Linked DNA regions of Kluyveromyces lactis. Each later gene encodes a partner of the first gene's protein in a complex. Links are inferred from orthologs where the notes say so. Each region holds a gene or a part of one and is shown in the gene's direction. Other genes may lie near its edges.

Region 1 (7,669 bases):
TCTCTCCCACATTCTACTGTATTTTGACTCTTTTCGTGTTCTCATTCACTGGTCCCTGTGAACACTTAAAATAAAAAAAAAGTGATAAATTAATACATGGCAGTGGGCACGTGGCACGTGCTGAAGAAACCAATTCAAAACTGAAGAAATGACTGTAGGAGGAAAAGAAAATAGATGGATAATAATTTATATTTCACAGGAAACACGTGTGACTGCAGCAACGGTGGTACGGCTTTCGTCATGACGTTCCTTCAAATCGGGCAGGACCCTAAAGGGCTGAGCCATGATTATCGGAACTGACTGCATCGTTTTTGTAGCGTCTGGTTAGCAAGCAAATGGCACAGTTTGCACAGTTTCCATGTGTTTTTTCTTCTAGTTAAGAAAAGATCCTTCATAGTGCAGTAGACCCTGAGAACCCTTAGGTTTTTGCTGCCTTTGTTTCTGCGTTTCCGTTGTGTTTTCAACATTCAAGAGAATCAAAAGGTAGTAATTTCTTTTGTTTTCTGACATCGATGAGTTAGATACGAAAGACTGTCTATACTCCTACCATATTGGACAACCTCTTTCACTATCGTTTCTACGAGGTGGAGACATTGCACTGTAGTTACTGTGCGAAAGAGTAAGAGTTTTGGTGATCAATGGAATGTTTTGAGTATTGGAATACTACCTGTGTTCTGTAGCATTAGGTTGTTAATTTTAATACATGGAAGGATGGGAAAGTTGGGATGGATTGATGCCCACGTTTATTTTATGATTATTACTGTCTGCATGGGAGAAAGTAGTGCTGAAAAGTTGTTAATTTAATTCGTAAGGACCCCACCAGGGTTCTTTTTTTTCCTTTCATTTTTTTTAGTTATAAAAGGCAAGCGAACATTGCACCAGGGAGCAAGTGTACTCATCAGCAGCATCTATTTAACTTCCATTTTGAAGCTAGCTACCAAAGAAAGCAACAGAACAAGCATAAATTAGTCAAACCATCTGTCCTATAGGCGTTTTTTCCTTTTCTTTTCTAATATTTGAAAATACGTGCAAATTAAACGCTGATCAAAATTCAGATCTAATAACACATCAGTGCAAACAAACTAAACAAAAATGGCTTTGCAACAGTTTGATTACATTTTTGCCATTACAATGCTCTTTGCATTCTTGGATGCATACAATATTGGTGCCAATGATGTTGCCAACTCGTTTGCTTCCTCTATTTCATCTAGATCCTTGAAATACTGGCAGGCTATGATCCTTGCTGCTTTATGTGAATTTTTGGGGGCTGTCTTAGCGGGTGCTAGAGTCTCTGGTACCATCAAGAACAATATTATTTCTGCTTCACCTTTCGAAGATGATCCAGCTGTGTTAATGTTAACTATGGCATGTGCTCTTGTCGGTTCTGCCACTTGGCTTTCAATTGCGACATCTATTGGTATGCCAGTGTCATCGACTCATTCTATCGTTGGTGGTACCATCGGTGCCGGTATTGCTGCCGGTGGTGCCAAGGGTGTCCAATGGGGTTGGGGTGGTGTTTCTCAAATTATTGCTTCTTGGTTTATTGCTCCAATCTTAGCCGGTTGCTTGGTCACTATTATTTTCTTGATCTCCAAGTTCCTGGTCTTGGATGTTAAGCCAATTGAAAAAGCTATTAAGAACGCTTTACTACTCGTCGGATTTTTGGTGTTCGCTACCTTCTCGGTGTTGACTATGTTGATCGTTTGGAAGGGTTCTCCAAACTTGAAGTTGGATAAATTGTCTGGCACAACTACCGCATTGGCTATTGTTCTTACTGGTCTAGTCGCTTGTGCTGTTTACTTCATCTTCTTGTACCCATACTACAGAAGAAGAATCTTGCACAGAGACTGGACCCTAAAATGGTATGATATTTACAGAGGCCCAACTTTCTACTTCAAGTCCACTGACGACATTCCACCTCTACCTGCTGGACAATCTTTAACCATTGATTACTACGAAGGTAGAAGATTCGAAGATGAAACTGCCGGAGATGATGAAACCCAAATTGAAACTTCCCACACCGCCGATGGAAGAGATACTGTAGAGGGACATATTGAAATTAACGACAAGGAATCTGTCAACCAAAGTATCAAATTGGTGCAAACAGAAACTTTGCAAGAAGAAAAACCAACTACCAAACAGCTATGGTGGTCATTGCTAAAACAAGGACCAAAGAAGTGGCCTCTATTACTTTGGTTGATTGCTTCTCACGGTTGGACTCAAGATGTTATTCATTCTCAGGTCTACGATACAGGTGCTTTGTCAACAGATTTCAAGGACATGTACAAGAGATCTGCCTTCTATGACAACAGAATCGAATTCATCTATTCTATCTTGCAAGCTATTACCGCCGCCACTATGTCTTTTGCTCACGGTGCCAATGATGTTGCCAACGCCACTGCACCACTAGCTGCCGTGTATGACATCTGGCAGAAAAACACTGTGGAATCTAAGTCTGACGTTCACACATGGGTTTTAGCATACTGTGCCGCTGCATTGGTCCTCGGTTGTTGGACATACGGTTACAGAATCATCAAGAACTTGGGTAACAAGATGATTTTGCAATCTCCATCCAGAGGGTTCTCCGTTGAACTTGGTGCTGCTGTTACCACTGTTATGGCAACACAATTAAGTATTCCTGTTTCTACTACTCAAGTTGCTGTCGGTGGTATTGTGGCCGTTGGTCTTTGTAACAGGGATTTGAAATCCGTTAACTGGAGAATGGTCGCTTTCTGTTACAGTGGTTGGTTCTTAACTCTTCCAATGGCTGGTCTCATTGCAGGTATCTTGAACGGTATCATCTTGAACGCACCACGTTACGGTGGAGATTACCAATTATCATAATCATCAGATTGATATTTTCTTTCTCATGGCCTCAGCGCCTTTTAGGAACTTTCATTAATTAATTGTTTGTGCACTAGCTAGATAATAGTTTATCTGCTACAAATATAGAACATATTCGGTATTATAGATTCTGCAAATTTCCTCATATATTAGCCTGCATATTTAATTCTTTCTAAGCAGAATCGATATTTATTTCTATCAACGCTTATTCTCTATTGTTTTAAGAATCTGTAGAATATCTTTAAAAACAAAACCTTTAAAATTTGTATCGAAAGGACATCTCATACAGTAAACTATTCACTAGTAAATCATCTGAGTAAACAACTATCACGGTGATAGGCATGGAGACTCCCAGTTTCCTAAAACAATCTCCACCACCTGGTTACATCGCTGGTATAGGTCGTGGAGCGGTTGGCTTTTCCACCAGAGGAAGTAAAGATGATAAAAGAGTTCCTGCTAGATTGAATAGATATGGGCGAGATGCACCAGATACTTCTGTAACAAAGAATCCAAATAGATACAGATCAGCAGTTTCGAATGAATCATCGGAGAAACAGGTTAAAGATGAAGACGAACAAGAGATGAGAGTGTACGAAAAGATCGAACAGCGACTTAAGAATAAAAAAATTATCGACAATGAAACAAGCCTAAAGACGAAGCCAGATGATGAACCAGACAAGCTATCTTCTAAATTTGTAGATTTGAAGCGTAATTTAGCAACTCTTTCTGAGCAAGACTGGCTGGATATCCCTGACGCATCTGATATGACCAGACGAAACAAAAGGAATCGAATAGAGGAACAACTTGAAAGGAAAACATTCGCTGCTCCTGACACTTTGTTCCAGGTTAATGTCAACTTATCCAAGTTAACTGAAGAGAGGGAAAAGTTACTTGCTGTCCAGATAGATAAGAGTTTTGATTACAGCAAAAGTCAACTTACGGATGATGCTGAATACTTGAATAGAATGAACCAAGATGACAACACTATTTCATCTACGGATTTGGAAGACATTAGGAAAAACAGATCCCTATTAGCCGCGTATCGTAAATCCCATCCAAGAAATCCAGAAAACTGGATTTCTTCAGCAAGAATCGAAGAAAGAGCCAATCAGTTCAATCGAGCCAAAAGTTTGCTAGCGGAAGGTTGTAAACTGTGCCCTAAAAGTGAAGCTATCTGGTTAGAATCGATACGCATGAACGCATCCGATAAAGAATATTGCAAGAGGTTGGTTACAGTTGCCTTAAGGCTCAACGAGTTTAGTGAGCAGTTGTGGTTGAAGGCAATCGCCCTCGAACAACACAATACTGATAAAATTAAAGTCACTCGAAAGGCTCTAATTAAACTACCACTAAGCTCTATATTATGGGAAGTGGCGGTAAATCTTGAAACTTCCACTCTTGAAAAGCTGAAAATTTTGAAGAAAGCAGTTGAATTAGTGCCGAAGGATTCGCAGTTATGGTTGAAGTTGATAAGGTTACAATCAGTCGAATCTGCAGTGGACACCTTGAAATCTGCTGAAGAACATATTAAAAAAGACATCACATACTGGCTTCTCAAATGTCAACTCGAAGAAAAAAGAACGACCGCAAATCTCGATACGTTGGTAAATATCATTTCTAGCGCAATAAAGGATCTTCATGAACTGGAAGTTAATCCAACTATTACTGAGTGGTTCGAAAATGCAGTCGCTATATCAACAGAAGGATTGTATCCATTAACAGCGAAAGCAATCATCACAGCTACCATCAATAACTTATTTGAAGACGCATCCTCAAATTTCCAAAGTCTCTCGAAGCTGTTGGTAAACGACACCACACTTCAGTGTACCTTGTTTTCCTCCTTCCTAATCAAATATCCAACAAAGTACTCTATTTGGAAGGAGTTCACCAATTTCGCCGAAGACTTTTCGCGGAAATTAGAGCTACACGAAACATTCAGGAAGATCCTCTTTACAGATTCTCAAGCGGTAAAGAAATACCCTGTCTTGGTTTTAATGTATGCGAAAGACGTTTGGGATTGGGGTTCTGGTTCCACTGAAGCGTTGTCGATTTTAGATAAAGCTCTGGTGACAAATTCGGCGTATCCTGAGTTTTGGTTGGCTAAACTCAAAATTTTGAACAGAGATGGCAAATTGGATGAGATTATAAATTCCTTTGAAGAAGCCGAATCACACTTGGTAGAATGCATTGATAAATTAGTTCCTTTTTACGTTAAGTGTTTGCAATCTAAAGGCAGTTTGGAAATAGCTCATTCTACTGTTGATATAGCTTTGGCACGTGAACCAAACGACAAACATTTACTAATCTTGAAAGCACAGCTATACAGGCAACAAAGGGACCTTTCATCAGCGAAGCGTGTGCTACAGAGGGCTACGGATATTTCTAATCATGATCCAGAAGTGTGCTTGGAGTTCTCCAGACTGGTAATGGAAACACAAGATTGGGGCAAAGCGCGTTCAATACTCAGCGTTTCTCTACTAAAGAATCCAAAATCCGATACACTCTACGAGGCTCTCATTACATTGGAACTGCAAGTGAAAGATAACAAACAAGTAACGTACCTCATCGCTCAGGGTCTCAAAGCGTGTCCACACAGCTGGAGGCTCTGGTGTCTAAACATCAGAACCCTTCCTAAAAAATCACTACGTAAAACCACATTCCAAGATGCTCTCGAAGCTACAAAAGAGCATCCAATGGTGATAACTGAGATCGGAAAAGTGTTCCAAAAGGAACACCAATACGCGAAGGCATATAAATGGTTCATAAGAGCCTCGGAAAATAATCTTCAATTTGGGGACCCATGGGTATGGCTCTACATCTGCGAGTCGTGCATGAATCCAGTTGATTTGCAAATAAATGAAGAAAAAACGTTAAAGAAATTGAAAGAAAATGAACCCAGGTACGGTATACTATGGGAGCCCGCAGTAAACTCATACCTACACATATCAAACTCTCCGATTGATATTTTGCACAGCATTATCAACAATTTACACCAATAATTAGATAGAATGTAAGATTGTAAGATTGTAATAATAAAAATTGGGACAACACTGATGCGACTGTAAATTGACTTTCCGCATTGTCAGAAGTTCCGTTCCTCAATCGTAACTAACCCAGTATATGCGGCAGTTCTGTGTATTTTTCCGTTGTGATCTGATTCTCTGCTATGAAAGAGTCAGCTCTTATATCTATCAAAGAGAACTTTTTCCAGTGGAATTTGAAAATTTGAAAACGAACAACCAAAATGGAACTTCGAAATTGCGAAGAGTATTGGTAGTCGACAGGGATCGGAGGTGAAGTGAAAAACATCGATAGCAGCTGTTGAGAGTCTTAAATACCCGCCGAGGTCCACGTCATTTTTACCAGGGAAGTTATATATATATACTGATAGGTCAGAAAAAGTATGTCGTTCGGCAAGGGACGCAATGAGAGTTTGGATTGTCTCACTCCAGCATCGTATGTGTCTCAAGGTGCGGCACCTGAGGCACCAGCACCGACCCAAAGTGTCAGGGCAAGCCAGCCGCCACTATTCCCAGCTAGTAGCAGACATATTCTGTCTCCTTCGACGTTACTAGCGCATCCAAGTCCGCATTCAGTGCCCAGTACTGCTACTCTGCTTGGACTTTCCTCTGAACACGTAATCACTAGTCCTCAGTCGGTTCAGTTGAAAAATACACCTACTTCTATCGGACCAAGTCCAAGAGATGTGCTAGTTACCAATCTATCGCCGATCTCTGATATTTTACAAGGTGATCGTTCATCTATGTCACCTGCATCTGGAATCTCTTCCGTAGATGCATCGGGTGCAACACCCTCGACAGATGCAGATGGGAAAATCGTCAAGCGTAAGTATTCTAGAAATGGTTGTTTGGAGTGTAAGAAAAGACGGATGAAATGTGACGAGGGCAAACCGACCTGTTGGCAATGTGCCAGGTTGAATAGAAAGTGTGTGTATATATTGAATCCAAAGAATAAGAAACGGAAACCCAGAAAACCCAAGTCTGCAGGGGCATGCGCTACATGTACTGAAGATGGTGATGAGAAGGGAAAGGTTAAGAATGATGCAACGATGAAGAGTGAAACAAATTTCTCACTGAATAGCCATGTTAATGATTCTTTGGTAAATTCAGGATTGCCAAACCTCATACCTGCAGGTAGCATTAACGCTATGGATGCCAATCTTTTGATTCAGAATCTCAACGACATTGTTAGTATGAAGTTGAATGACTCTTTGGTTAGCGATGAATTAAAGGATCTTGAGTTTAACGACTTAGATCTGCCAGATCTGAACTTTCCAATGCTTAACACTGCTTCGGAGTTTTCATCAGTTCCAATCTCCTTTTTGGTCGATAATACAATCACTTTCAACACATCTCTAGAATCATTCAAGCTAGGTGGTCTGCATGATAAATATCTGCGAACCTTTTACCATGACTGTTTGGATTCCATCACACCTTTCTTTCAAGACCAAAATAATCCACTTAGAGATATATTACTGTCATTCGGCAGGAACGAACCATATCTTCTCTCGGCGATTTTAGCTGTGGGCGCCTCTATTGTTCATCGTAAATCAAACAAAATGGAGGATGAAAAGGCGTATTGCGGCTATTTATCACATTGTTTGCAACTCCTCGGAGATCAGTTTAAAAATGAAACCAACGTCATTAATAAGCTTGAGCCTATTATCCTAACTGTCATTTTATTAACTTGGGATTGTATCTATACAATGAACTCCCAATGGAGGTCCCATTTGAAAGGTATCACTGAACTTTTCAAGAAGATCAATTCAGGAAACTCATCAAAAGTGCTAAATGTCGCGAAATGT
Region 2 (4,032 bases), on another chromosome or scaffold:
ATTGGTTGTGTGAATAGGTGGTATTTTTCGAAAACACGACGGAAGAATTTCATTGTTCTATCGACAATGATAACATTAGAGATCGCATATGCGTCCAATAAGTTAATTAACTTTGTAATATGTTCGGAAATAGAGGCAATTAACGGTTCTTCAACACCTTGTTCTGGATACTCGAATTTGGGGACAATGTTCTCCAAAATTGCATAAAGCAAATCAATATAGTGTGCAACTTTTGCAGAAAGATCAGGATCAGATGGGTTCGAGATGAATTGCTGAATGATAATGTCAAACCTCTTATTATGTTGGGAGGTGAATGAATTGAATATGCCACCAATCTTCGCTGTTTCCTGCTCATTTATGACAGAACTTAAGCCTTGACACATCTCAAACATAGAGTAGTTGTCAACTGCGCGTTCAATTTTCCAAATAAAATCCACTAACTGGCCACAATAATTAACAAGAAGTGACGAGCAGTCCTGACAGAAATACATTAATGCATTGGAGGCAGCAACAGAGAGATCATGATTTGATTGGCCTGCTTCAAATCCATTGAATATATAATTCAATTGGATTTCCAGTAGATCCTCATGTTTACTGGTCCATTCTGTGTATCTCGAGAATACGAGTATTGTAGAATAAACCAATTTGGGGTGAGTTAGTGGATGTATGCATAGTTGTTTGAAAAGTTGGGGTAGCACAACGTTTTCAGTATGAGAAATTTCATGAGCCATTGTACGAACAGCAAACAAGGCAGCCTCTAGTGGTTGCCAGACCGTGTTAGGATCTTCTTTCTGAAGATATTGGTTGATAAGATTATATGGTTGCTGCAATGCAACGGTTGAACCTAAGACAGCAGCACAAGACTTAAGTACATCACCAATGTTATACCTAAAATCTTTAAATTTATCTTCATCTTCCTTATTTTCAAAAACAGTTTCCGGATAATGCAAATGTGTAATCAAACCATTCGTTAAATTAATAAATACATCCTGATATTCTTTTCTTTGTTGAGCGTAACGTTGTAAAACTAACATTTGCCTCAAATTAAACCAAAATGGGAAAGTATACGAAACGATATCGAGGTCAGTGTTCTTGCAAGTTAATACCAAGATGACTTCAACCAATGGTTTGAATAAGGCAGGATTCTTTGCAAGAAAAACACACCACGCTTCGCCAGCTTCAACGAATAAACGTGTGAGTGGATCCATAATCTCTTCGTATTCTTCCCAGTCAGAAATGGTTGTGATTGGCAATAGCTTTTGTTGCAAAGCTAAAAGTTGCTCGTAAAGCGCATGTATGATTGTATCGTTGGCTGCGTCTCTCGTTTCTCTTAATAACACACATAAGCATTCTACTGCAGCTTCAAAAGAATCAGAATCAGTATCATATGAAGTATGCAAGACTTGGAACACGGTGTTTATCAATGGAGTCACTTGTAATACCTGTTCTATTGGAAATTCATAACACCACGATCCAAAGCACGAAATGATTTTAGAAGCAGATATGCCTTCAGTTCCGACTCTATCCAAACATGAAATCAAAAATTTCAATACGTCTTCTCCAATGTTATCTATAAGTTCGTGTGTTCTACACTCAAATTCATCTTGGGATAGAGGAGTGGATTTGATATCCAATGTTTCCTCTGGGAGAATCTTCAAAAACAGTAGTAACTTTCCCGGAAGACCATTTAGAGTATTAATAATTTCAACTAGCGGATTCCTCCAATCAAGATACTGAATGGTAAATCGGGCTAGTGCCACGTTCAACTGTGTTACTATGATCTTCTCTTCATACATAGCGATGAACTCAAAGAGCTTTCCCTTGAAACTCTCTAATTCGGTATTGACCTGGTTTAGATCATAGGTGACTTTGTTCACTAGAGTTTGACAAGCAAACATTTGCAACTGTAAGTTGTCTGCTTCATGCTTGCTTAATACTTCGAAGCAGATTTGCCATGCTTCTATGCTCTTTTGAAATTGCTCCAAAAATTGTAAAGCTTGTATCTTCTTCTCCTGTTCAGAAACACTTTGAGTACAAATCAATGCACTCTTGATATCTGGGATTTGATACAACATCAATATTGATCAATCACGTCGTTCTTGCTCAACGGTATCTGCTGTGGCAGTTTTTATGAGTTCCTTTTATAGTGCATAAGTAAGATCAAATGTTTTGGTTGATTCAATATATAAAATTTTTTTAATATGTTAACAATAATCCTATTAAACTAATATCAAACGAATTCAACATGGCACTAGTGACTGACATTAATAAAGGATAACTGCGATCTGATTATAGTTACACTAACATCGACCTTCAATACACCGAAAGATTCTAGAAAAAGTCTAAAATGTCCGGCTCTAAAGTAGGAGCTCCTATGGTACCTCCAATCAATTGCATATACAACTACCTTCATCATCAGACAACAGTAACGTTTTGGTTATACGAACAAGTACAGACACGTATAAGAGGCAAGATCAGAGGCTTTGATGAGTTCATGAATGTGGTAATAGATGACGCTTTCGAAATAGCTGTAGATCCGAAAAGTGGTAAAGAGAGCGATGATAAAGCAGTGTTTCTTGGGAGAATTATGTTGAAAGGTGATAATATAACACTTGTTGTGGCAAATTGATAATGCCTACTCAGAAAATGATAATAGGATGAAAGAAAGATGCTTAGAGTGTAGAAGCATTGATCGGACTCTGTCGTGTAATTATATAAGCCTGTATATTATAACGGAAAAATGAAAGGCACTGAAATTTCGATAACGGCGACAAGCACTATCAAGGCTAATAAAGATATATTGTTCGTAATCTTATGGATCTATTTACAATGTGTTGCTCAGATTGGGGAGAATACCTTAAGTTCATATGGTTTCTTTTGTGTCAGTGATATTATCTAAAAGATATATCTCAAAGGACAGAGTCTTTACGTTCTTCCGCTTGTTTAGTTAATTCATCCAATTTGGTATTAATTTCCTGGTTAAATTGTTCCATCTCACCAGATAAAAATTCCTTCACAATTGGCAAACCTACGTATTTGCCGTTGCCCAAAGTACCAAATAATGCATCCGAAATTTCACCTTCGTTTCTTGCTGTTTGTTGAGAAGTCGACAAAGACAACTTATTTCTTAATACATCTTGGTTGTCCGAGGCGAATGCCTTTTCTACACTGGCCACCAGTTGTTCTTCTGTCACAATGAAATGGTCTGCTGCATGACAAAGCTGTACCAAGTTGGCAAGTTTGCGTTCTTTAGCCTTGAATTCAATCAATTCCTTGTTGTGCTTTCTCTTCAAATCCAGAATTTCTTGCTCTTCGGCAGTCCTTTGTCTCATAAGCGGTTGATTCATAATGCCCTCCAATGTTGGAATGGTCAAGTTACTCGAACGTTCTTTGTTAAGCTCTTTCAATTCGGCTTCTCTCTGTTCTTGTAGTACCCTTTCTTTCTTCTTCAATAGCTCTTCCTGCTTTAATAATCTTTGTTCTTCGTTACGTAAAGACTCACTCAAATATTTTCTACGCAACTCTGCTTGATTCTGCTTCAATAACTGCTGTTCACTAGCAGCCGTAGTATTTTCACTCTTAGGTTTCACCGTGTTATAGATAACTTCCTCCACATCAATGAATTTCAATGGAGGTGGATTTCTATGAGATCCTTTTGGATGTTTGATACCCTTAGCATAACCGACACCATTGATACCCTTAGGCTTGGCTTCTTTGACTCTTTCAAGTATACCCGTTTGGTTCACAGTTGGATTTTTCAAGATTCGTCTCGTTGATGGAAGAATTCCGCTCTTATAGCCATACTTTGCTGCACCCTTACCCATTGTTTCTAATGTTTAAAAAGAACAAGGTTACAAAATTTGATCACAAAAATGTCGCTGGAACTTACAGACCGTGGATCAACCGAAACAAGATTCGTCTTGACTGAAATTTTGGCTACTTAATGCTATAATACCTGTTACTCAAATCACTTTTCAAACCTTTGTTCACGTAGAGAACCAAAAATTTTCAGATTCGCATTGTGAAAGAGAA

The links. Proteins that work in one complex are often made in the same cells at the same time.
Region 2: PRP6 (region 1) and SME1 share a complex: the UniProt entries of both Saccharomyces cerevisiae proteins name them as parts of the U4/U6-U5 tri-snRNP complex. The link is inferred for Kluyveromyces lactis from reciprocal best matches to the Saccharomyces cerevisiae genes PRP6 and SME1.

Annotation. Positions count from the first base shown.
Region 1 is NC_006042.1:394,426-402,094, forward strand, and holds PRP6 (U4/U6-U5 snRNP complex subunit PRP6), read left to right. Parts: upstream 1-3,185; coding exon 3,186-5,843; downstream 5,844-7,669. Other genes in the region: PHO89 (Pho89p), read left to right, coding at 1,093-2,844; LYS14 (Lys14p), read left to right, coding at 6,248-7,669. UniProt on the Saccharomyces cerevisiae protein: Participates in pre-mRNA splicing. Part of the U4/U5/U6 tri-snRNP complex, one of the building blocks of the spliceosome.
Region 2 is NC_006037.1:203,610-207,641, reverse strand, and holds SME1 (mRNA splicing protein SME1), read left to right. Parts: upstream 1-2,347; coding exon 2,348-2,629; downstream 2,630-4,032. Other genes in the region: mRNA transport regulator MTR10, read right to left, coding at 1-2,075; mitochondrial 37S ribosomal protein PET123, read right to left, coding at 2,910-3,824. UniProt on the Saccharomyces cerevisiae protein: Involved in pre-mRNA splicing. Binds and is required for the stability of snRNA U1, U2, U4 and U5 which contain a highly conserved structural motif called the Sm binding site. Involved in cap modification.